Drosophila melanogaster: one gene and its partners. The protein of the gene in region 2 interacts with the protein of the main gene of each other region in a biochemical or structural test. Each region holds a gene or a part of one and is shown on either strand. Other genes may lie near its edges.

The links.
Region 1: of the proteins of pll (region 2) and Cka, one has a biochemical effect on the other in vitro, tested with the Drosophila melanogaster proteins (one study listed by BioGRID).
Region 3: of the proteins of pll (region 2) and Tehao, one has a biochemical effect on the other in vitro, tested with the Drosophila melanogaster proteins (one study listed by BioGRID).

The regions. Positions count from the first base shown.
Region 1 is NT_033779.5:8,027,321-8,034,415, forward strand, and holds the start of Cka (connector of kinase to AP-1), read left to right. Parts: upstream 1-3,400; 5' UTR 3,401-3,519; exon of another isoform or gene 3,520-4,255; intron 4,256-4,739; 5' UTR 4,740-4,937; coding exon 4,938-5,321; intron 5,322-7,095. Other genes in the region: CG7367 (uncharacterized protein), read right to left, coding at 1-619, 694-856, 918-1,059; baf (barrier to autointegration factor), read left to right, coding at 2,288-2,413, 2,496-2,642.
Region 2 is NT_033777.3:27,248,333-27,254,873, forward strand, and holds pll (pelle), read right to left. Parts: upstream 4,851-6,541; 5' UTR 4,626-4,850; coding exon 4,306-4,625; intron 4,248-4,305; coding exon 3,582-4,247; intron 3,519-3,581; coding exon 2,999-3,518; 3' UTR 2,799-2,998; downstream 1-2,798. Other genes in the region: TTLL6B (tubulin tyrosine ligase-like 6B), read right to left, coding at 36-146, 210-750, 812-1,446, 1,511-1,664, 1,722-2,018, 2,076-2,500; TfIIA-L (transcription factor IIA L), read left to right, coding at 5,270-5,293, 6,196-6,396. UniProt on the Drosophila melanogaster protein: Plays an essential role in the Tl receptor signaling pathway that establishes embryonic dorsoventral polarity; the signal directs import of dl into ventral and ventrolateral nuclei, thereby establishing dorsoventral polarity.
Region 3 is NT_033779.5:13,432,583-13,441,482, reverse strand, and holds Tehao (tehao), read right to left. Parts: upstream 5,862-8,900; 5' UTR 5,735-5,861; coding exon 4,689-5,734; intron 3,589-4,688; exon of another isoform or gene 3,561-3,588; coding exon 2,219-3,560; 3' UTR 1,553-2,218; downstream 1-1,552.

The DNA of each region.
Region 1 (7,095 bases), on a different chromosome or scaffold from region 2:
CAGCTCCTTGCAGCCTGGTTGCGGTGGTCCACCGCCATTGGGATAGAAATCCACCATGCCGATGGGTTTGCGAAAGCCCAGGTATCCGGCACAGCTGTGTATGACATCCACAAAGTTGGCGTCCGTGTCGTCCAAGTGATTCTCCGGACCAATGCAATCCTCGAAAGCGGGACGAGCTGGATCCAAGCCAGTGATGCGGTTTACCCTGTACTTAGTGTACGAACCAGCATAGCCCATGATGTGCGCGCCCAGACTGTGGCCAATCAGATGGATCCTATTCGGATCCGCATCCTTCTCCTCCACCAGCAGATCAATTAGCTTGGCCACCGCCCGTCCCACCTGAACCGTATATCGCGCCGGTGTTAGATAGTATATATTATCCGCCTGATCCTTCCAGTTGATGGCGAACACGTTCACCTGGCCACGTTCGATATAGGCACCACGAATCGATTGAATCGAATTGCTCATGGTGCTGGACTTCCAGCCGTGAACGAGTATCTTGGTGTCCAGTTCCGGATTGAATTTCTCCGCCATCTCCTGCCAGGTGTCTCGCTTGTGGCGCTGCGGAAACTCAAAGTTATTCTCATCTATCCAGAAATCAGCACTGGAACTGGAGTCGCTGGAATAAAAGGATTCAAATTGTGACCACTACGAAAGATAACTCTTCAAATCAAATAAAAAAAAACCACACACCTTCCGTACAGCTCGAACTTGATGAGCTGTGGCAGATTGATGCGGTTTTCGGGCGGAGGTTCCACCAGATAGGCCACCTCAGGCTTACCCTGTCCATTGGGCATGTAGATCCAGGTTTTGTTGTAATCCTCCTGATTTAGAGCCACCTCACCACGAATGCCAACTAAAATGGAGCAGAAACTTATGCTTAGAAGGATGGCTAAATCGAATTGAAAACATTTTACAAAGCAGCAGCACGGGTCGCACCACTTGGGCGAGGGCAGCGAATCCGGTGATGAGCCACTGCACCACCACAAATGTGGTGGACACCTCGTTGCGACACGGATTGATCACATTACAGATGCAGGCCAGCGCATTCGAGGACATCTTGACCAGCTAAACGTCGATCTTGAACTGATCGGACGCCGGATTCCAAAGATCGGAGCTCCCAGCTCCCAGTTTCCCAGCTTCCCAGATCCAAGCTCATTAAGGCGGCTGACGCATTAGTAATCCTCGAAACCGGTTCCAGCCCAGCAATTAATTTGTGGCCTGGAGCGTTTTAATTACTCAGCATCAGTGTGCGCGCGAATCTCGGTCAGGTGAGACAAAGCCACATATGTATATCCGTTTCCCCGTAACTCCCAACTCACCCATCCAACAACTAAGGGCCAGGCCACAAAGCCAGCAAAGCGCTAACATCTCTGTACCAAAGTCGACGTCACTGTGCCACGGGAATCGGGTGTGTGGATTTTATAGCGTACGATAAGCTAGACGAGGGCCAGGTGTCAATCAAGACTGGAGTTTTGGACGGACTGCTGGCCAGGTTGAAGCCTCGGTCGGAAGGGTCTCGGCGTTATCATTCCAACTCAGTTGGGCGTCCCAAGCGCGGCGCTGTTAAATTGGGTTAAGCCCAGTTCATCGGTGCATACTAATCTAAGGTGCGTTGCCCCGGTATTGAAAAGTGGAACAATATAAATATTTGAAAATATGTTCGGTAATTTAGTTAAATAAGTTACAATAACAATTACATTTTTATAAGTGTTTTTATGAAAAATGCTACATCTTATGTACACATAGATTAAATATTATTTAGATTTTCAGCGATGGCTATGTAAATTTTTCACAAATGCAATACTTTAATGCACTAACATTATAACAAATTTCAAATTTATAGAAAACTTTAAGTATTCAAAATCTAAAACGGTCATGTAAAATACCATACATCAAACCATGTAAGCATACATCTTACATGTAAAATATTGCTGGCATTTGACCTAAGTAGATTAAGTAGATTACAAAAATATGTAATCCGCAATTTCAAAGAAACATTTTTGAGTGCATCTTATAAAACTCTATTTTTTGCCAATGCTATGTAAAAGAATAATTAAACTTTGTTAATTGTTGGGTGCGCAAATGAGTAAAGCCAGAATTACGTGGCCTATTACATTGCCTAATTTTGTTTAGTATATCTAGATGTGTTGTTGCATTTTCGAAAATATCACTTGCTGCCACACTGGCTGTGCGTCATTTTCAGAAACGCCGCGAATATTTTGCCATTGAAATCTAGCTAAGCATTGGAATTTCGCAACGTGCAGCAGCAAAGCAAACTACAAACATGTCGGGCACATCGCAGAAACACAGGAACTTCGTTGCGGAGCCAATGGGCAACAAGTCGGTGACGGAACTGGCCGGAATTGGGGAAACCCTCGGTGGACGCTTGAAGGACGCTGGATTCGATATGGTGCGTGTGTAAATACGATGACGCCATGTGCGCAAATAAACAATGCCAGTCAAGTGCTAACGATCATTTCCATTCGTTTTAGGCCTACACCGTTTTGGGACAGTATCTGGTGCTGAAAAAGGACGAGGAGCTGTTCAAGGACTGGATGAAGGAGGTGTGCCACGCCAGCTCCAAACAGGCATCCGATTGCTACAACTGTCTCAACGATTGGTGCGAGGAGTTCTTGTAAGAGGTGGACACACAAGCCATCCGAGTAATTCGATCAAAAGGAATCTGCTAAAGGCATCGGCCAATCATTTTTATTCGCAGTCAACGAAAGTGGCCCAATGCTAGCTAAGCATTTGCCGTGTTCACTGTTAGTATGTATAGCTGTAGGGTGTAATTTAATGTCTAATCCGAATAAATGTACAGTCATGGAAACGATCCTGCATTTGGATCTCTGTTCTGCGAAAAGTACAGTAGGTGTAAAACATTTGTTGCTGGCCGGCGAAGCAGCCTAATGCAGATTTTTATTAATTTGATTAGGGGACAACAATAAGCAACACTATAGAAGGCAGATCGGTTGGCGACTATATCTTCTCTATGTTTTCGATTGTTGGCGAGTAGGAGTCTCTGACTCGCTGAAATAAGCCTCTGTCTTTTTGATGTTTCTTTATCAGCGGGCTGATGTCGCCTAATTTTGAAATCTATTTCTTTTTGTTTTTCGGAAATGATCTTTTATAATGATGGACTTAGAACCTTTTAAATCCCAATCGCTGTTTTGTTTGGGGATTATGTGTAAGCGGTTAATATATATTTTATAATGAAACCCCTTTTGTCAAAATTAATTGTCCTCGAGTAATTAATTAGTACCGAGTATTTGATTATAAATACAACTTTTTTTAAATAAAAATATATATTTTTAAAAACTTATTTTTAAAGTGAGTGGTATTAAATAGGATTTCTTTTCCCTGAAGTGGTATCATATGGTATTTATTTTTGGTCCCGTGGTATTTTTTATCGTTATCGGCGCGGTCACGCTGCTAAGAATTACATTACGCGTGAATACCAATGAAAATTAAGAGAGAAATTGCAAAACACAGCCAAGCGGTGCAATAAATCGCAAAGTAAGAGGCGCAAAACGCGCAAATACCGTTTGCGCGGTTAAAAAATGCAAAAACACCAAACGATAGATTAAACAAAGTGAAATTAACTCGGCTTTGGCATATGCGAACACCAGTGTGCCAGTGTGTGTGTGTTTTTCTTTGTATATAGACTCGCAGAGCGAGACGGCCATACACGACGGCAGACGGGACGGTGCAGGTGCGCGAGTGCGAGCGGGAAAAAGGCTGTGCGGTCACTGCTACTCTGTGTGTTATTTCAGAGTTACAGGCCAAACATTCTGATGTGCGGCCGAATCAAATCGACTTTTTGTGTGCATCGCCCCAGCGTTCGTCTTAATTAATTAGTGATTGCAAGCGGGTGCAATTATGCACAAAATTACGGACTAATACAACTGCCCGCTTCGCGCTCTCTCCATCTCCCTTCCAAATAGTCGTTTGCTCTTCGCACACAAAAGTGTAAACCCTGTGAAAGGTAGCAACAACGTTTCCTTGGAAAAAGCTGTAAATAGTAAACAAAATTGTCAAGTTAACGAGCCAAAGTTATTAAATAAGGTTCGAGTACGTTGGCATCGGCTGCCCAGGCAGCAAAGAAAAACAAAGACGCAGTTCAAGATTCAGCTGGACACTTAGAAGAGTTTAAGAATTGAAGCACAAAAAAACGAAGAGAAACAAGAACCCCACCAAAAACCCCGCCGTGCGTTTGTATGTGTGTGTGCCATTCAAATTTCCCTGCAGCTGGGTGAGTGTGCGTGTGTGTGTGTGTGTCAGTTTAATTTTCCTACCAATAATCGCCTTTCCAAGACGTGATTACCAGCCGATCCACCGCTTAAATTGATAAACGTTTTAACTCTTGCGTTACATCAGCTGTTTTACGGCTTTTTGTGCTATAAGTTACGCTTTTCCCGTAAGCCGTTGGCAACACTAGAACGCAAAAGAGAGAATCGCGAGTACCGTAAAGAGGAAGAGAGAGAGATAGAGAGTGTGAGCGTGTGAGAGAGCGGGGAATGTGGGGGCGGTTCCGGTGCGAGAAAACGTAGTGTAGTACATAAAGAGAGTGCGAACGAGAGGGAGGCAGCCAGCGAGTGTCCTGCGACTGCTCCCCCCTTTACCCTCGTCGCCCTTCTATTCGGAAAATTCAATGACCTCATTTGTTTCATGTGCCGAACTTTGCTTTTCTTTCCCAACCTAAAAACGCAAAAAAAAAAAAACGTAACACCAAACAGGATATAGCGTAGGACCAGTGAACAAACAAGTCCGAGAGAGCGACAAACAAAGGACCGTGCACTGGGCACCTGAAGGCAGACAGCTGGCAACGAATCAGGAGAGGATCAGGAGAGCAGGATCAGCGGGCACAAGGATCACCGGAGCAGGCAAAGGAAACACCTGGCACACAGCACAGCCACTGAGAGCGACGTGAACCAATGGGCACCAATTCGGGAGCCACCGCTGGCATAAACAACAAGCCGGTTGGCGGTGCAACAGGAGCCGGCGTCCTTGTAGGCGGCGGTGTGGGCGGTGCCAATTCCTCGATCGGCGGTGTCCTGTCGAACAGCCTGGGCGGTGGCGGCAGCGGCGGTCTGAGCATCAGCGGCCTCAACGCTGGTGGACAGAACGCCAATGTGGGCGGAATGGGCAACGTTGGCGGCGACGACGGCGGAAACGGGATGGTGGGCGGCGGTGTAAATAACCAGCAGGCCACAACGCCCCAATACACAATACCGGGCATCTTGCACTTCATCCAGCACGAGTGGTCGCGCTTCGAGCTGGAGCGATCACAGTGGGACGTGGACAGGGCCGAATTGCAGGTGAGTGATCCTTAAATACTGAATTGCTAATAGCTCCTCTTTAATATTCGATTAATCTCGTACTTTGAGATAGGTGAATCAGAAAATCAGCTTAAGATCTTAACAATGTCCTTATTATTAGTTTGAACATTGATTTAGTTCTCATCCTCCACTATTTTATTCACTATTGATTAAGTAGGTACTGGACTCACGGACTACAGTAAACTTTATAGCGTGAACTTTGTGCAGATAGTGACAGTATAGTGCTTAGTATAAAAGAACCAATGAAACTGCAAATTGTTTGTCCTAGAAAGAATACTATGCAACCAAAAGCAAGGCAATTTGGCAAGGCCCAGGGAGTGCTTAAAAGGTCCTTGCTTATCGACAGCGGTGGCTCACTTTCCATTTCAATGATTTTCCGAGGCGCTAATGCATGAACATGCAAGGAAAACGGCCAGGAGGAGCCACCACACCGCCTTGCCTCCGCCATGTCCGCATGCAAGCGAATCGAGTTGAGCAATTGCCGTCATCGAGTGTTTATGCTCTGTTTGTCGCAGACGAATGGCCAAAAAGCCTGAAAGCCCCCAAAAAATGTAAAATGAGTGTAACCGCGGGTTGGATAACATTATCGTAATTTCGAAGGAGATTACTCCACCTCCAACCTGCGCCACCCTGCGCCTCCATGGCCATCGTCAATGTCAATGTCGACCCACGCTCTATCGCTTTCACCTGCCAAGTGGCCAGATAACGAGCGGTATCGATAACGAGGCACAGTCCGTTACGCTCTGAATGCAACGTGACATTCAAATCCGTCTCTTCCCCTGCTTTGCATCATCATAATGTGGAAAAGTGGCCACAAAAAAAAAGGAACCAAGTTGACAACGCAAATTTGTCGCCGCGATTTATGAACCTGTTCGCCTTGTTTGGCGTTTTTGGCCAAAATAAATCTGGTTCGGGTGGGCAGCAGAGGCAGAGGCGACGCCATCCGAGATGGCTCTGTTTCAGCAGTCGTAGCATCCGTTCCCTGCCCGGCCGCCTGGATCTATTTATATACTTCCATATGCACATCGCAAATCTCTTTGTGTGTCAGTGCCGACTGCTGTGAATGCAGCAACGTCCTTGTCGCAACGAATCTCAGTTTTGCCGGTCTTCCCATGAATGCATCCACTTCCACTTCCTACTCGGTCGGCTTTTCCTACTGTCGCGTTTGTCAGGCAATTAACTTGCACTGTGGTCGGAAACTCTTTATTTAAAGAACATTTACGTTTCTATGTTGAATTTCAATCAGATATGAGGTAACAAAAACAAAAAAGCGAACATTTAGGTTCATCTTATACTATCATTTATAACTCTTTAATGTTTAATGGCATATTTACCTTTAAATTATTATCAAATTCTTGAGAAATGATTATTTGTGCTTCGAAAGCACTGTAAGCAAGAATGACGCGGCAAATGCTAATATATTTTCAATCATTTCGCCATTGCAAAAGCATTTGTTTGCAAATGCATTTACAGATTAGAGAAACCAAACGCCGCTGGCGCTCTTGTCATATTAATAATTCTATTTATATGTCCTTGTGTACAATATGGTCACTTCCCCAACAGCATTATGCAATGGACAATTCCAAGAGCAGCCACGTAACCCCTTTGGTTAGCCAGCATTTTTCAAAAATTGTAAAGCGAAAAATCTTGGAGCTTCTCCGCTCGGGCTCATTAAGTTACAAATGCGCATTTGTCATGGAATTCGTAATTTCTAATTGCGAATGAAAATAAAAAGTAGTTGCATGTCGCGGAG
Region 2 (6,541 bases):
TAGTCTGTGTGGCTGGAGTTGGGCGAAATGACTGACTATGGAGTACGTTTGATGTCGTAGCCGTGCTGCAAGTTGTGATAGAGATGCGGATAGACGACCATGTCCGTGTTGGTCAGGAGTCCAGTTTCGTAGAGATTGCTGTAGATCTGTGGACGAATATCTCCTTTAAATATAAATGTATCTTTTTTTTTGGAAGTGAACCGACTTACATTCTCGGTGATCTTGAGCGTTCGTATCGCCTCCGCCCGCATGTGCAGCCAGGTGTGGCGCAGTCGCTCCTCCGCGTCCGATATGAAGCCCGGCGACCAGTTCTCCCTCAGCCGGAAGAAGTTAATACGGTTCTTCTCGCGCACAGCCCGCGGCAGCAATACGGTGTGTCGTTTCCTAGCATCCCGCTTGGCCTTCCCGTTCAGCATCTGCTGCTGCTTGGCCTTCTTCTCCTCGAGCTGGATGCGCATCTTGCGCGCGAGATCCTCTCGCTTTTTACTGGCCGCCGTCTCCGCAAAGATGGACACCTGGTGCGACTGGGCATAGAAGCGAGTGTAGTAGTCCAGCTTGCTCAAGTCTGGTGGCGGCATTATCTTCCTGAAATTGCCCAAATGACTCTCCTCCCAGGCGATTTGCTGGGCCAGTGGACCATGGTCCTCAGCTTCGGGTTCAACATCAACGGGTTGGGCATCCGGACTGCCCTTCTGGGCATCGATTTTGGGCTTGGAGGTGCCGCCACCAAGACGCGGACGTTGTACGGGTCTGGAAATATATATGTGGGTTACCAATGATGATGATGCTGACATGATGATGAGACACTTACGGGTCTCCCCTGATCTTGAGCAGCCGCTGCTTGACCCGCTTGCGATCCTCCTTGAGAATCTGCCTCTTGTCCGCCAGCACCGTGCTGACCAAGTTCAAGGTGTCCCGGATCAGCGGCCGCTTTACCTCCCTGTCCACCTGCTCGTTGGTATGGAAGCTGGGCGAGTGGTTCACCTCGAGGATGTACGGCTTTAGCTTCCAGTCCACCAGGATGTCGAAGCCGAGGATCTCGAAACAGGCCTGGATCTTGTCGTGACCCGGAAAGCAGGCATGGTAGTTGTGCTTCAACACTGGCCACGCACTCAGCACCGTCTTGATGATCACGTCGTCCACATTGCTCCAGAACTCCTCCACATCGTAGTTGTGTCGCCGCATCCAGTTGTTGATTGCGCTCAGCTTCCTCTTACTGCCGCAGTCATCGTTGTCGCAGAGTTCGTAGTGCGAGTTCCGCTTGTTCACCGAGTAGTTGGTCAGGTGCATGTACAGATCGTTGGCGTTTCCGGGCGTGGGCTCCACGTACTTGTTCGTAGCAAATCTGGCCAATCCCTCGTTGTACACGAAGATGCGCAGGGGATCCACGGAGGTAATCAAGGTGTACACACGCAGATCGAACTTGTACCCATCGATGAGCAGGGGCTGGAAAAGTGGATGCGATGGTTAGCCAGCGTATGGGATTCCGGATGAACAGCGGATACATTACCCTGTGTATGTACGTCTGGCAGATGAGGCGCTCATGTGGACCTATGGTCTTCAGGTCGTTTGTCAGCCAGATGCCACGACCCTGGGCACCAGAATCCGGTTTCAGGATGAACGTGCGTTTGTGGTTGAGCGCGTAGTTCATGGCATCTCCATAGCTGAAATCGTTGGTATCAATGATTAGCACTTTCAGTGTGAGGCTGGGGTTTACTTACTCCGCCGGCAGCATCCAGGTCTTGGGAAAGATCTTGTAGTCCTGTGGAAAGATCTTTAGCATTCGATTTAGATTCCGCGAGAGCAGATCCTTGCGACAGATCTCGATCATGCCCGGAAAGTGATTGATCTGCTGGAAGCGCTTCATGTTCTTGAACAGCTCTACGCCGGGAAACGAATCCGACCAGAGGATGTTCCACATCTTGGACTCCTTAACCAACTTGTAGCCCAGCGTCTTGGAGATCTTCCCAATCATGGCGTAGCGCGAGTTGGACACGCAGATGGTACTCTTGGTTTCGCTGGGGGATTATGTTAGATGCGTTATCCAATAAGGATCCAAAGCTAAGGAAGATCACCTGGCTGGCCGCTCCTCGTCGACGTTCATGGGAGGATTGAGCACCCGAGTGGGGCATTCCACTCGGTAGGTCTTGTTGTTCAGTTGAATGAATCCCTGCAGCTTGGCTTCCTCAGCAGGCATTGGGCTGTTTTCACCAGAAGATGGTCCGTAATATGGGGAGTTATCATCCACTTGCTTGTCGGCGGCTGTCCTCCTCTTGAGGCACCGGGTCTTCTTCATCCGGCGGCGTGGGGACATGGGCTGCAGTGGCGGTGATTGCTCCGGACTGAACCATTCCCGGTCCAAGCACGGCTGCTCATTAAGAGCCATGTCCAGGGCGCGAACAACGTGGGTCCTCTTTTCGCGATCCTTCCGTATTTTCTCCTTGGAGAAGTGGCGCAGCTCCTGAATCCTCTTGAAAAACTTGGAATTTTTTAAATTCATTGTCTCGTCCGCTGGTCGTCCTTGATTAAAAATTGAAAATTTTTCACGTGCTAAAAGCTATATCTATAAAATTGATTCGTGTCAATGGTTAGAGCCGGAATTCTGCGTCACGAATAAAAACAATATTATTTTGCGATGATTGTGTTGTGAAAATGAAAATAATTATAACCGAAATGACGCTAAAATCAAAACGTAGCTCCACTGGCCACGTCGCTTGAGTCGTTTGAGTTTTAAATCATCGATTTGGGGCATATCATAAATTTAGTTTCTCCGAACATCAAACATACCACTAACAACTAAGTGTACAAAAATATTTAATAAACAATAGGGTAAGCATTTACAATTTAAGCATAACAATAAGTCTTTAGGGAAATTTTCGTTGGAATGTTAAAGTTAAAAATATATATTGCGATTGATCACAAAATGTGGAAATGGTTTACAAATGGTCCTTCGAGCTTTTCAAGTTCGTCAATAAAATGGTAACATAATAAGGCCCATCTAGTCGGTAACAAACGGTTCGAAACGCTTGAGCACCGCGTTCATGGATGGGCGATCCTGCGGATCCAGGGCAGTACAGTGCAAGCCCGCCTCGATGGCGCACATGCACATGTCCAGCTCCTTGCCCATCGGTGCTGCTAAGTGCTTCTCTAGCAGCTCCATCCGGTTTTGCCGCCACTGCTGCTTAACGTAGTCCAGCAAATTCTTCTTCGTCTCGTTTTCCGGCACGCGATCCGTCACCTGACGACCCGTGAACACCTCCAACAGCACAATGCCGAAGCTGTAGACGTCCACGCCCGTGCTGAGTTGTCTGAAGTTGCGGAACTCCGGTGGCAGGTAGATCTTAGTGCCGAAAACTTTATTCACTTCCACCACAGCGTCCAAGGACTTGGGACCCTCGCGCACCAGACCGAAGTCTCCGATTTTTGGCTGCAGACATTGGTCCAGCAGGATGTTGGCCGGCTTAATATCTCCATGAATCAGCGGTGTGCCTCGCGCCGTGTGCAGAAAGTAGATGCCTCTTTTGGAAACGAAATGAAAAGTTAAAGAAGATTGATAGCACTAAAGAAACGATAAATCCCACCTAGCCGTGCCGAGGCTGATGCTAAACCGCTGCTGCCAGGTGAGTGCTGGTAGTGGGTTTTGTGCCTTATGCGCTCGTAAACGAGCCTCCAGGGAGCCGCCCTTCATCAGCTGGTAGACGAGGCACGGCTTACCACCTTTGATGCTGTATCCGTAGAGGGCCAGGATATTGTCGTGCCGGATGCTGTTTAAATACTTGAGTTCGTTGTAGCTCTGCTGCAGCTCCACCATTTTCTGGTCGATGTTGGGACTGCGGTAGTTCATCACCTTGATGGCCACGTCCAGTTGCTTCCATTTGCCGCGGTACACGTCTCCGAATCCGCCCTGTCCCAGTCGATTATCCGGACTCCAGCCGTCCGTGGCGTTTTCTAGCTCCGCATAATCGATCTCCAGCAAGGATTCGGCTGCCCGCTGTACGGTGCTAATGTGTATATTGCCCAGGGACTCCAGGCTGGGTATCTCCTCCGTTGCCGTTGTGCTGGTGCGATTGTTGTTTGAGTTGCTGACGCCCGAGGAGGAGGGAAACGGCGGGCCGTTGTTTACTTTGGCACTGGAATCGGGAGCAGCGCGCAGCTCGCTGATGGTGGGCACGCTCCTCGGTATGTACTTGTGCAGATCCTCGCTAACGTAATCTTTGATCAGACGCATGGCGTTATGAAGCTTCAATCTAAAGTAAGAGGAGTCATTTCTGGGATCTCGGCGGTTATTATCTCAAACTGACTCACTTTTTGAACAAAGCAAACAATGTTTGCACCGTGTGATTGTACTGACCGCCCCAAATGTTGAGGAACTCATTGGAGGCTGAGCGGCCACGCTGCTTCTGGCTGCTTATCTGCTCCACCTGGTCGGGATAGAGTTTTACGGCCGTGGCCAGCTGTTGCCATACGTCTAGGGCATCCAAGTGGGCACATAGCTGGGCTCGCACGGGCAACGGCAGCAGTCGGATGGCCATTGTGTTGTCCAAGTGGGAACGCGACCTGGTCCTGTTGCCATTCGCTTGGTTTTGGGCCTGCGCCTCGGCTTCGGCGGTCTGGACGCCACTCATCTTTCACTTATGGGCGGGCGGTTCAACCGGTTGCGACTGATTCATGCGGCTCCGGATGCAAGAGTGCCCGTTGGATGAGGGGTTGGCGGCGCTGGTAACCTGTTGCAGCGAAACGAAAATCGCTTTTGGGTAAATTCCCAACGCGATTCGATGAAAACCTGTGGATGACTTGTTAACAGCGGCGCAACAAGTGATAAAGCAGCTTAACAGAGCGAAGCAGTCTGGCAACGCTGCCAATGTCTAGCAAATAATACACTCGAAAAAGTGGTAGATGCTTAGGAGCCACTGTTTAAAATTCAGAAGTAAAAAGAAAGCAGAGTAATTATTAAAAAGGTATTTGCTGTATGAAAATATTAAATAGATTTTAAATAACCTCCACATATTTTATGTAATTTGCACAGTATTTTGTATACTAAAATATCTTAAAAAATACCAAAGGCAATTAGTGTATGACCAAATGAGCCTTGCAGTTTGGCGGACATGCGTCGTTTTCAAGTGCCCCGCAGGTGGCCACACTGCTGACACCGTCACGAACGCATCGCTATCGCTAATTCTTCGCTTCGCCCATTTATAATTCAGCAAATACGTCAATTAGCCCCACCAGCGAACGGAAAAGCCTCAAGCTGGCGGAGAAAAAGGTCCAAATGGCGCTATGCCAGACATCGGTGGTGAGTGTGCGGCTGGATCCCCGAGATCCGGTAATTGTGTCAGCGGCGGTGGCTCCATTGCATTCGACATATGGAAGGCATCCTACCAAGGAGTTTCTCCATTTCCTCCAGCTTCACCTCCTTCCGCCGCCCACGCGGGAAAGTGAAAGCTTTCCCAGTGGTCATGGTAGTTACTACAAAACGATAGTTACAACTGCTGAAATCCGAGATACCAAAACTGCAAACCTCTCGGGTGTGGATGTGTGTGCATGCGAGTGCGTGTCTGTCTGGATGTCGCTGTGTTAGTGCGTTCGTTGCCTTGCAGTTTTGTATGTTTCTTGCCCTCTGGATTTTCCGATTTTCGGCTTTTCCGCGTAGTACTTCAAACTCCCATGGGGGGTTATATTTAGCAGTAATACACGCTGCGTAGCTTGTGCTATTATCTACAAGTCGGGGCCTCCTTCCTTATCGTCCGCTGATAACGCAAAACAAACTATTAATAAAACAAGCAACTGGCATACCGGTGTATATATATGTACAATGTACATATATATATATACCAGCATATGCATGGTATCTATGTACATATGTGCACTGCGACATTCTTCGCAAACAAATAATTTACATACTTTATTTGCGTTTTGCATATTCACATTACAGCTGCGTCTGAATTTTAATGGGAGCTCAAAAAGGCTCACCACATACTGTGCGCCACATTTTCAACTTCTATAGCGTCTTGCCCTTTACTTGCTTCGTGGATTTTTTGCGCAATCCCTATTGTTTTACCCCCAACTGTTTAGGCCCTAATAGCGTGAAGTTGAGCCGCGATAATATAATGAGTGTTTAAGTCAACACAAGCCCAGATTTGTCGTGCATTTCAAATTTAATTATACACAATTAACCGCATCCCCTCTCGCCCGCAGCTGAAGGTGTACCATGCCGTGATCGAGGACGTCATCACAAATGTGCGGGACGCGTTCCTGGACGAGGGCGTCGACGAACAGGTGCTGCAGGAGATGAAGCAGGTCTGGCGCAACAAGTTGCTTGCTAGCAAGGCCGTCGAGCTGAGCCCGGACTCCGGCGATGGCTCCCATCCGCCACCCATCGTGGCCAACAATCCAAAGGTAAGCGAAACGGAGCCCTTGGGTGGATATTCTCATCGCGAATCCTTGTGTCTGTCTAACTTAACGTAGAAGTCCATACAAATTGTGATATCTTCATCCCAAAAAAAATTTCCAACTAAGATATCTTGCTTTATCTTTCTTATGC
Region 3 (8,900 bases), on a different chromosome or scaffold from region 2:
CTTTGAATCACGTAGCCAAAAGCCCTGGCAATGGGCAGCATCGCTTTTATTATAGTTTTCTTCGCAAAACTCGTGATAAATGAAAGGCAGTGGCAAACAGATGTTTGTGATAACTACTCACACCCAGATTCCAGGACTCGGACTTCGACTTCGAGTGTAAGTTTATGAAAAATGAGCCCAGATGATTATACAATGGCAGCTGCAATGTGTTGGGGCAGCAATCAAATGTCATCACTTACAAACTTTTGGAGGGTCACAAAGGCAAAGCGAAATATAATTCAACTGAGCATTTTTACAATCAAAATTGAATTGGATGCCGCGCTCAAAGCGAATCACAATGTTGAATTGCAAAAAGATTGAATTTCCGCCATTCAGTTGGCTGTAGAAAAGTAATTTATCACAGCGAGCAGTTGTTAAATAATAATGAGTTTTAAAAAATGCCGTTGATGTTGAAATGTTAATTTGGGGAATACAAGTTCTATCGACTGTAGAAATAATTAAACTTAACTTTTGTATATAAAAGGTTAGTGGAAATATTTCAGTTTTTAAGTTTAAAGACCAAGCGTTATAAATAAGTGTTCTAGCTTTGTCCCTTGCCCCATGACCCTCACTCTTTTGTTCGACTCGCCCACAAAGTGTTGGCCAGCGGGCAGGCAATGAATCTTCAAAGACGCTCTGCAGAACCAACCAAACCACCCACTTTGATGGTGGCTTGTGGGTGGTGGGTGGACAAAAGGTCACGCAATCGTGCGGCAAAAAAAAAAAAGGGCTGACAGTGTAGGGAGCGCAAGTTGGCCAAATGTTTTTCTCTGCCCTCTTGGTTATTACATATATTTTCACTTATATCTGGCTGGGAATTGGCTTGGCTCGCCACTTTGGGCCTGAATCGGCCTATTTGGGGAAAGGGCTCCAGTGCTCGACTCAACTGAGCAATGAAGGCCAGCGCAATTACCGAAGTGGATAATTAGAGTTTGAAGATGAGGCTATGAGGGCTGCTTAAAGCATGTGACTGAATAAATATTTAAGCCCGTATAAATTGCAAATATTATTGCCCACGAATGCCCATGGTTATGATGTGGTGACTTTGGCAAATAATAATGTGGAATAAAAGCGTGCAGCTTTGGAAAAATTAATTTTTAGTCATGCAGAAGAGCAGCAGTTCATGTTTATTTATGCACACATCAGCTGTTAAAATTCATTTAAGGCCAAATGGCATTTTATCTGCGCACACACAAAGCACCCCAATGTTTTGGAATTTAAAATTTAATTAAAATCTCATGCGAAAAATGACACAATCCAGGCCGAATACATTGTTGGAAACAAAGGGAAGGACCACCAACAAGGACCAGCTCATCCAAAGGCCTAAGCCAGCTGGGATATTTGGACGAGGGCTCAAAAACTGTCCACTTTGTGGGTCCCTCGGTGAATTAAAAATTTACACCAATGAAAAGCTTTTTAAACGTGATTAATTTGATATTCTTTACATTCTTACTTGTTTTAAGAAGCAGCTGAGGGGCGTGGAAATAATATTATTTTCAGTATCTTGCAGTTTCTAACTTGTATACACATTTCTATTCTTTCTTATCATAGATTTAGCGGAAAATAATTCGTATAATGAGTGTCATAAATTCATCCGAAGCTGTAATTAACACATAATCATCATTTTAATTGAGCTAATTGATTAATGGCAATCGAGCGTTTGTGTGTTCCATGAAATGTTGCAAATGTTGATGCTAACGACTAAGTTAATTATTGTGACAATTTATTAGTTATTCAAATTAAAGCTATTAAATTTTGAATATGAAGATGAATTTAATTAACAAATTTGTCGAAAGAATAACTGCCCGTTTGTATGCATTAATTAGGTTAAACAGTCATAGAAGCTATATGCTGATATGTTTTTATATATTTTTTTATTTTATTGACATTATTATTAATTTGTAAATATTACTTGTAAAATTACGTTGTAAATATATAATTTCCGGAAAATTGGAAACAAAATCGTAAGGTCATTAGTTTGCTTAAAAATAAATTAAATTACTTATGATGTATGTATCAATACTTTTTAAATAGTCATAATAACTTTAGAACTTTAAGCAAGGCATGCAAATTAGCTTTTAAGGCCCAAGTTTGCCTCGCCAAGGGGGATCTCTACGAGAATCTCAACTGAAAGCGAGTGAGTATATTCATCTAAAATATCTTACATTTTATTCAAGCCTCAGATTAGCGGCCCCGCATGCTTCTTTTGGCCCTTCAGAACCCTGCGATTATGCGGCATCGCGTAGTACAACTTGCTCCAGAAGAGCGGATCACCCCACTTGAGGTAGGTGTTCAGCTTGAGATAGGCTCGCAGTTCGCTATCGATGCCGTTCATGTGCTCCAGTTCCCGGTAGAGGATTATGATGATTCGCTTCCGTTTGTCCTGCAATGTGGCCTGATAGGCGATCCGGAACTCCATGCGGGCCCACACCGAATCGATGAAGTGCTGCGACAGTACAATAATCACCCGCTTCGAGTCGTCTACGGTGCGAACGATTTGCTCCGGAATACAGTCGCCCACCAGCCAGTCCCGATCGTGCAGACACAGCCGGAAGGGATGCGGACCACTCTCTAGTTTGGGCAAGAGCTTGCTGATCAGCTCCTCATCTTTGTGCGAGTACGAGATGAAGGCATCGTAGGTCTTGTCCTTGTCCAGTTCCTCCTCGGAGACCCACCACAGGCAAAGATTGTTGTTGTACAGCCAAATCTTCAGCTCCTGCTGGAACATTAGGTAGAACACGGTGAGCAGACAGATGACGATCACCAGGCCACCGACCACACAGCTGATGAGTAGGACATACGATGGACACAGCTCAAAGGCCTCCATCTGCTGGAAGGACTTTTTCTGCTTGGTGCACACAATATCGGCGATGTCCCGTACCCGCTGCGGATTGGTCCGCACAAAGAAGAGAAGCGACAAGGATTCGCAGCCACAGGTGATGGGGTTTCCCGACAACGATAGCGTCATAGTGTTGTTCGGCTCCTGAAGAAACAATAGGAACTCATCGCTGAGTGACTGAATCTGATTGCCTCGCACATCCAGGTGGGTGAGATTATCGGGCAGCTGGTCACCGCTTCCAAGGCTGGTCAGGTTATTGTCCGACAGAAAGAGTCCACTCACATTGGCATAACCACTGTGTTCGCTCACAGTGGGTAGACTGGTGAGGCTATTGTTGCCCACCTTGAGCACCGTGCTCAGTAACGTGGTGCGGGGCAAATCCGGAAGTTCCTCGAGACTCGTTCCGCGGCAATCCACGATCAGACTACCTACACTCCGCTGCACCCAGCAGATGCATCGGGGATCGCACTGCCACTCCGCCGACTTGTACTGGCACGCCTCGTCATTGGTGCACACCACAGCCTCGTAGTTCATCAGGAGCGTGGCCCCATAGAACTGGGTGTTCACCATCTCGATGTAGTTCAGACTGACCACATCTTGGAACACACTCGGCGACATCGCGGTCAGCGAGTTCTTGTTCAGACGCAAAACGTTCAGCGAAGTCAATGGTGCGAAAATTGTGCTGCAGGAGGAGGAGATCTCAGAGGGATTAGATTGACATTAATCAGGAAGTACCGAGTTCCAAGTGGGGCTATCGTTATCTACATCCCAAAACTAGTGACCTAATGCTATACAATAACATTGATTCTTTTAAATAAGCTATCGAAAATGGTAAAGCTATTTTAACTAGCTTATTTATAATTTTTACATGTTACTTACATATTTATTTAACAATATAAAAATGATTTATAAACAGTATTTTATAAGTGGTGAAGCCTTTAAAAACATTTATGAGGGGATTAGTAGGCATTATGTTAAGCATAATGCTTATGTCTGCGACATCTAAAAACCAATTTGCTACTTTTATTAAATTAATAAAAAAAAACTTCTATGGTATTGCTAATTCAAAATGGGGACTACAAATAAATTCTGCAAATCAACATGATAATGCTTAGGTTTCTAGAAAATCAGTATAAAAAGTTTTGTTTCGCGCAGATTGATTGTAAATCTCAATAGTATTAAGAACATTGTTCAATGCCATTTTTTAAGATCGGTAAAAAGCTTAACCTTTTTTTCTATAATTAAAATCTATCAGCCACAAAAATATCTAATTAATTTCTATTCGACCACATCTTATCAAACGACAATAAGATTGCCATAGACAAGAACTATACAAAAAAAATAAAATACGTCTTACGTTTCATATGACTTTTCATAATGAATTGTTTAGATATACATAGTAGTACTTGTGGCGTAACAAATACGAAATATTTTGTCTGATTTGAGCACGAATTACTACAGCCAGATAAGGATCAATCAATTAATAATGTTTGGCATACTTTTTGGCGCCAATCTGTGTACAATAATAACACTGCAATTAGTATCTGAACGATAGGACCCGATAACCCCACTTGCCTGTCAGGGGGAGACATGGAACTCTCGATGAGCCATTACTCGTGCCCCGGGTATTGATAAGGGAAATAGCAGCAGCCGCAACCACAGCGATAAGGCGAAGAAGAGTGCCTTCGATTAATTACTTTGGTTAGAAGCAAGTTCTACAGTCCGTACCCTATCGCTAGGTGGGCCATCTATTAATCAGCGCAAGCAAGCAGGTGGCGAAAACAACAAACAGAACCCCCTTTCAACCCACCTCGACAAGTTAGTCAGTCTATTTTTGGATAGATCCAGCAGCGTTAGATTCCCCAGGCCTTTGAAGACATCCTCGTGCAGAGTGACGATCGCATTGCAGGATAGATCCAGGGTCTTTAGATTGACCTGGTCCAGGAAAATTTCACCCGGAAGCTCCATGAGATCGTCGTTGCCATTCATCTTGATCAGCTGCAACTTGTTGGTGCCCTTGAACATCGAGCGATTCACACTACTTGTGGCGGACGCCAGCCGCACCTCCTCCAGATTAGTCATGGAACCGAAGAAGTGCGGTTGCAATTGCTTGTCGCGCTCATGAAACGGATGTATGAGCGCGAGACTCAAGTTGCGCAGTTGCTGCAGTTCGCGGAGCAATGGATTCCCGAATGACACTATACCCGGACTCTCGATGGTCAACGTTTTCAGAGTTCCATTCACCGTGGACAGCATATTTCCCGGCAACGTCGTCACGTTCACGCTGAGATGCAGATCCCTCAGGGTGTCGAAACCGTGGAATATGGACTCCTGCAGCTCCGGCACGTGGCTGAAGAACTTGAACTTCTTCAGGCCCGGAACTGAACCAAAGTGCCAGGTGGTAATGTTTTCGGGCTGCGAAGTTTCCATATATCCATTGCCCGAGTTCAGAACGTCGCGTGTGACTACCGTTTCCAAAGTTCGATCACGGAAAATAATCGTCTTCACAGTCTGAACACCCAAGGTCTTGAGTAAGTCGCTAAGGAACTTCTCCGGCCAGAAGATGTACGCATCGAACTCGATCTTCACAAGCGAACTGATATTGAAGCGCGGCAGCCACTGCAATTCGGTGGAGGCATAATAGCTCATGTACAACGATGCGCCCGGTTCGGAAACCTCCAGCAGCATGGCGTACTCATCCGGACAATGGAAACGCACCACATTCCCCTCGGCGGCACAAGTGCACTGCGGACTAAGACCCAAACAAAAGGTGGGCAGTGGTATGATCTGTCCCGTGGCAGAACGAAGCACCAGAAGGGCAAAAAAGAGCCACACTACCGGCAAATAGGTTAACATTTCGCTCTTCACTTCACTTGGCCGTTTCTTGGCATTTAATATTTATGATTATTTGAATTTCTGGTTTCCGCGACGAGCAGCAATTGCGACGTGGTTATGTGGACACGGCGAATGTTCGGCTATGACTAAATCACAGCTGTTTGGGGTCCCTGCCAATCAGCCAACTCGCTTATCAGGCCAAGCCAATTGGTCTGCAGACGGTTTTCTATTTTTTATTTTTTTTATCTGTGCTTTCTTATCACGGCCCCTATCGCAGTCGAGAGACCCATTGACATGGCCGAAAAGCGAGGCGCCTTCATCAAAATAGAGATGGCAGAAGGCAATCACTCGACCATTTTCACCCTTGATGGTATCTTAATGATGGGTCGCAAAGTTCAAGACCATTGTAATATGGTTCGGTCAAAGAACGCAGGTAGTTTTCCATACGTTGTTCTATCAATTTGTCAGCCATGAACTCAGTTAGTTTAAAAAATAACCAAACAAAATGTCAGTAAATTTCCTTAAAATTACTTACTATCACTATCCGTCTGCTTATAATCGGGGGTATTTGGCACCAAATGAATGATTTGAATACAACTAATTCGACATTCATCTTAATTTCCAAGACACATAAATTTAAAGATAACGTGTTTTTAATACCCTACTTTTGGCTATCTTGCGGAATTTATTTATGCCCAAATGTCATAATGTTAATGGCTCGCTCATGTTCCTTGTTTTTGCATTTCGTAGACGCCGATAAGAAGTGTTTATATATTTTTTGTATTTCGTAGTGACATCTTTGAGCGGTAACTTTCAAGTGCTTGCACGTTCACAGAAAACAGCCGTCGTGAGTCAGCGAACACAAAATAATTTGGTAGTCACACAGGCCGTATTCAATCTTAGTGGCATAATTTTGGGCTCTCTAACTTTTTATTTCCCACACTAATCAGTTAGTGGAATGTGTACTCTTAGACTCGTAACCCGTTAATATCCTTGATTCAGGATATTGGTCGAGGGGATTTAACAGGAAAATAAATAACTCATGGGAATTAAACTGTTTTTCATCCATTAAAAAAGGTGCTCGCCATGAATATTCGATGAGAGGAGCCAATATTTCGCCCTAAGCCGCGCCCTGAACTGTCACGCATGGAACATATCCGGACACATCCTGACAGGTGTGTGGCATGCCACGCCGGAGCTTATCGAGCCTCGACATCTGGAGAATGGGACAGACGCTCAAAAATAAATAAGGGCCGTGCTGGGCCAAGTCAATCACTTAAATCGCTGCGTCGAAGGATGTGGCCTTGAACGCGCCAAGGACAGCCCGTCATTATGGACTTTGGCCCATTGTCGAGTTGCCAAAAGTTGCTGCGCTCAAGTTGAGCCGTCTTCATTATAAGTTGCTCATAATTCATTTCGCGTTGGCGGACAGAAACTCAATTAACAGTTTTTCACTCCCGCCAGGGACATTGGGGCAAAAGTTTTGAGCGACATTTTAATTGGGTGAGCCCGCTCAACTCATGCAGTGCAGCATCGCCACAGGACACACATCAAAAGTGACCTTTTTTGGGCCCGACTAAATGTGAAAAGGCAAACACAATTACACGCCCAATTACACAAGCGGCAGCCAAACGATGGCAAAGGACTTCCCACGCCACTCGTCTTCGTATTACGCATACGCACTGTGGTCCGCAAAACGCATAGGCAGAGTGGTGCACCTACACAGGCTAACGCACATTCTGTTTTTATGAGCTGGTGATGATGGAAGTAGGTGCTCTAACGAATTGTTGTAAATGTTGGGCTTTTAGCTCTTCGGAGGCTGTGACTTTGCATTTAGTTAACTGGTTTAACTTTAGTTGGTGTGGAAAACATGCTAAAACGATTTTGATGGATAGGATATTTAACATTTTATTTGCACCGTAATCTATATGTACTTTCAGCAAAATAATTAAAATATAATTTTTACAAATGCACATATATTAATTAAATTATTATTTTTAATTTTTAATGATTGGAAATAAACACATTTCAAAATAGTAATTAATAGCCAATTAAAAACATTAAATCCGATATTATGTATTTGTTCAGCTAAAAATGAACTGAAACATTATTCACCCCAAAGCGATCAAATAAAATCCAATTATCCGATTATGAGGGTTATCTATCCAAGTGCATCTTTCCATCTGGCCTTCGGTGGAAGAGCAATCTGGCTGCTGGTGAATGCCAGTGGAAAACAAAGGGCGCTTGACTTTTGACTTTTTGGGGCCCAAAAACTAAAGGCAGGACTTGTACTGCCTTGTTTTGTAATGAGGGGACGTGCTAAAAAGTCACATCAATCAGAGTTGAACTGAATCATGATTCAAAGGGTCACATTTTCTAAGAGTCAACACCAAATTAACGTCATATCCACACACACGCATAGTGTGTCGGTGGTGATGCCAGAAACAGGATTCCAAATCCTCAGTCAAATGTCAGCCATTTCCATTGTGTTGGCAGCCATGCAGCTGAGATTGGCCCAAACCTATTTGACATTTGGCAAATTGCATGCCAAAACGGAACTGCATTTTGAGTAGCGCATTCCAAATTAAATCAAAATGCACACAGAACCCCGACAACAGCTAAGCTCTCTCGATAAATAAGCGAACAGCAGCAGCATAAACATCCAAAATTGTGCTTCCCATGCAGTTCGCCAACCGCAAATACATTTTCCTCTGCCATTCCGCAGATGAGTGGCTTTTGTGTGTCAGTAGCTCTGTGCCAGTGTGTACTTCGAAAATCAAATCAAAACCCATCCGCAGAAAAAAATCGAATAAATGAAATAGAATAAGAATGGGAATCAGGATCAACTATTAGCAACAAATCAATACAGTTTTGTTACTTGTCAGTACGAGCGGATTGTAAGGCATCCTTGCATTCGGTCTAGACTCCTCACCGAAATGTGCAACGTTGCGTATACGCAATGTGGGCCATTTTTGGGTGCGAAGGGGGCGGGATTGCAAACAACTGGGAAAATACAATTTGTTTTCTTACTAGGGACTTAGTGCACAGTACAACACACTATGCACTTAAGTCGAGTGAGTCGGGGTAATAGAAAATGCAAAAAGGGAATCGAGCTAAGTGAAAATCACTTCTCGGTGCTGAGTCGAAAATTTGTCAAGATTATCAGATTTTCTGCGTGCCATTGGGG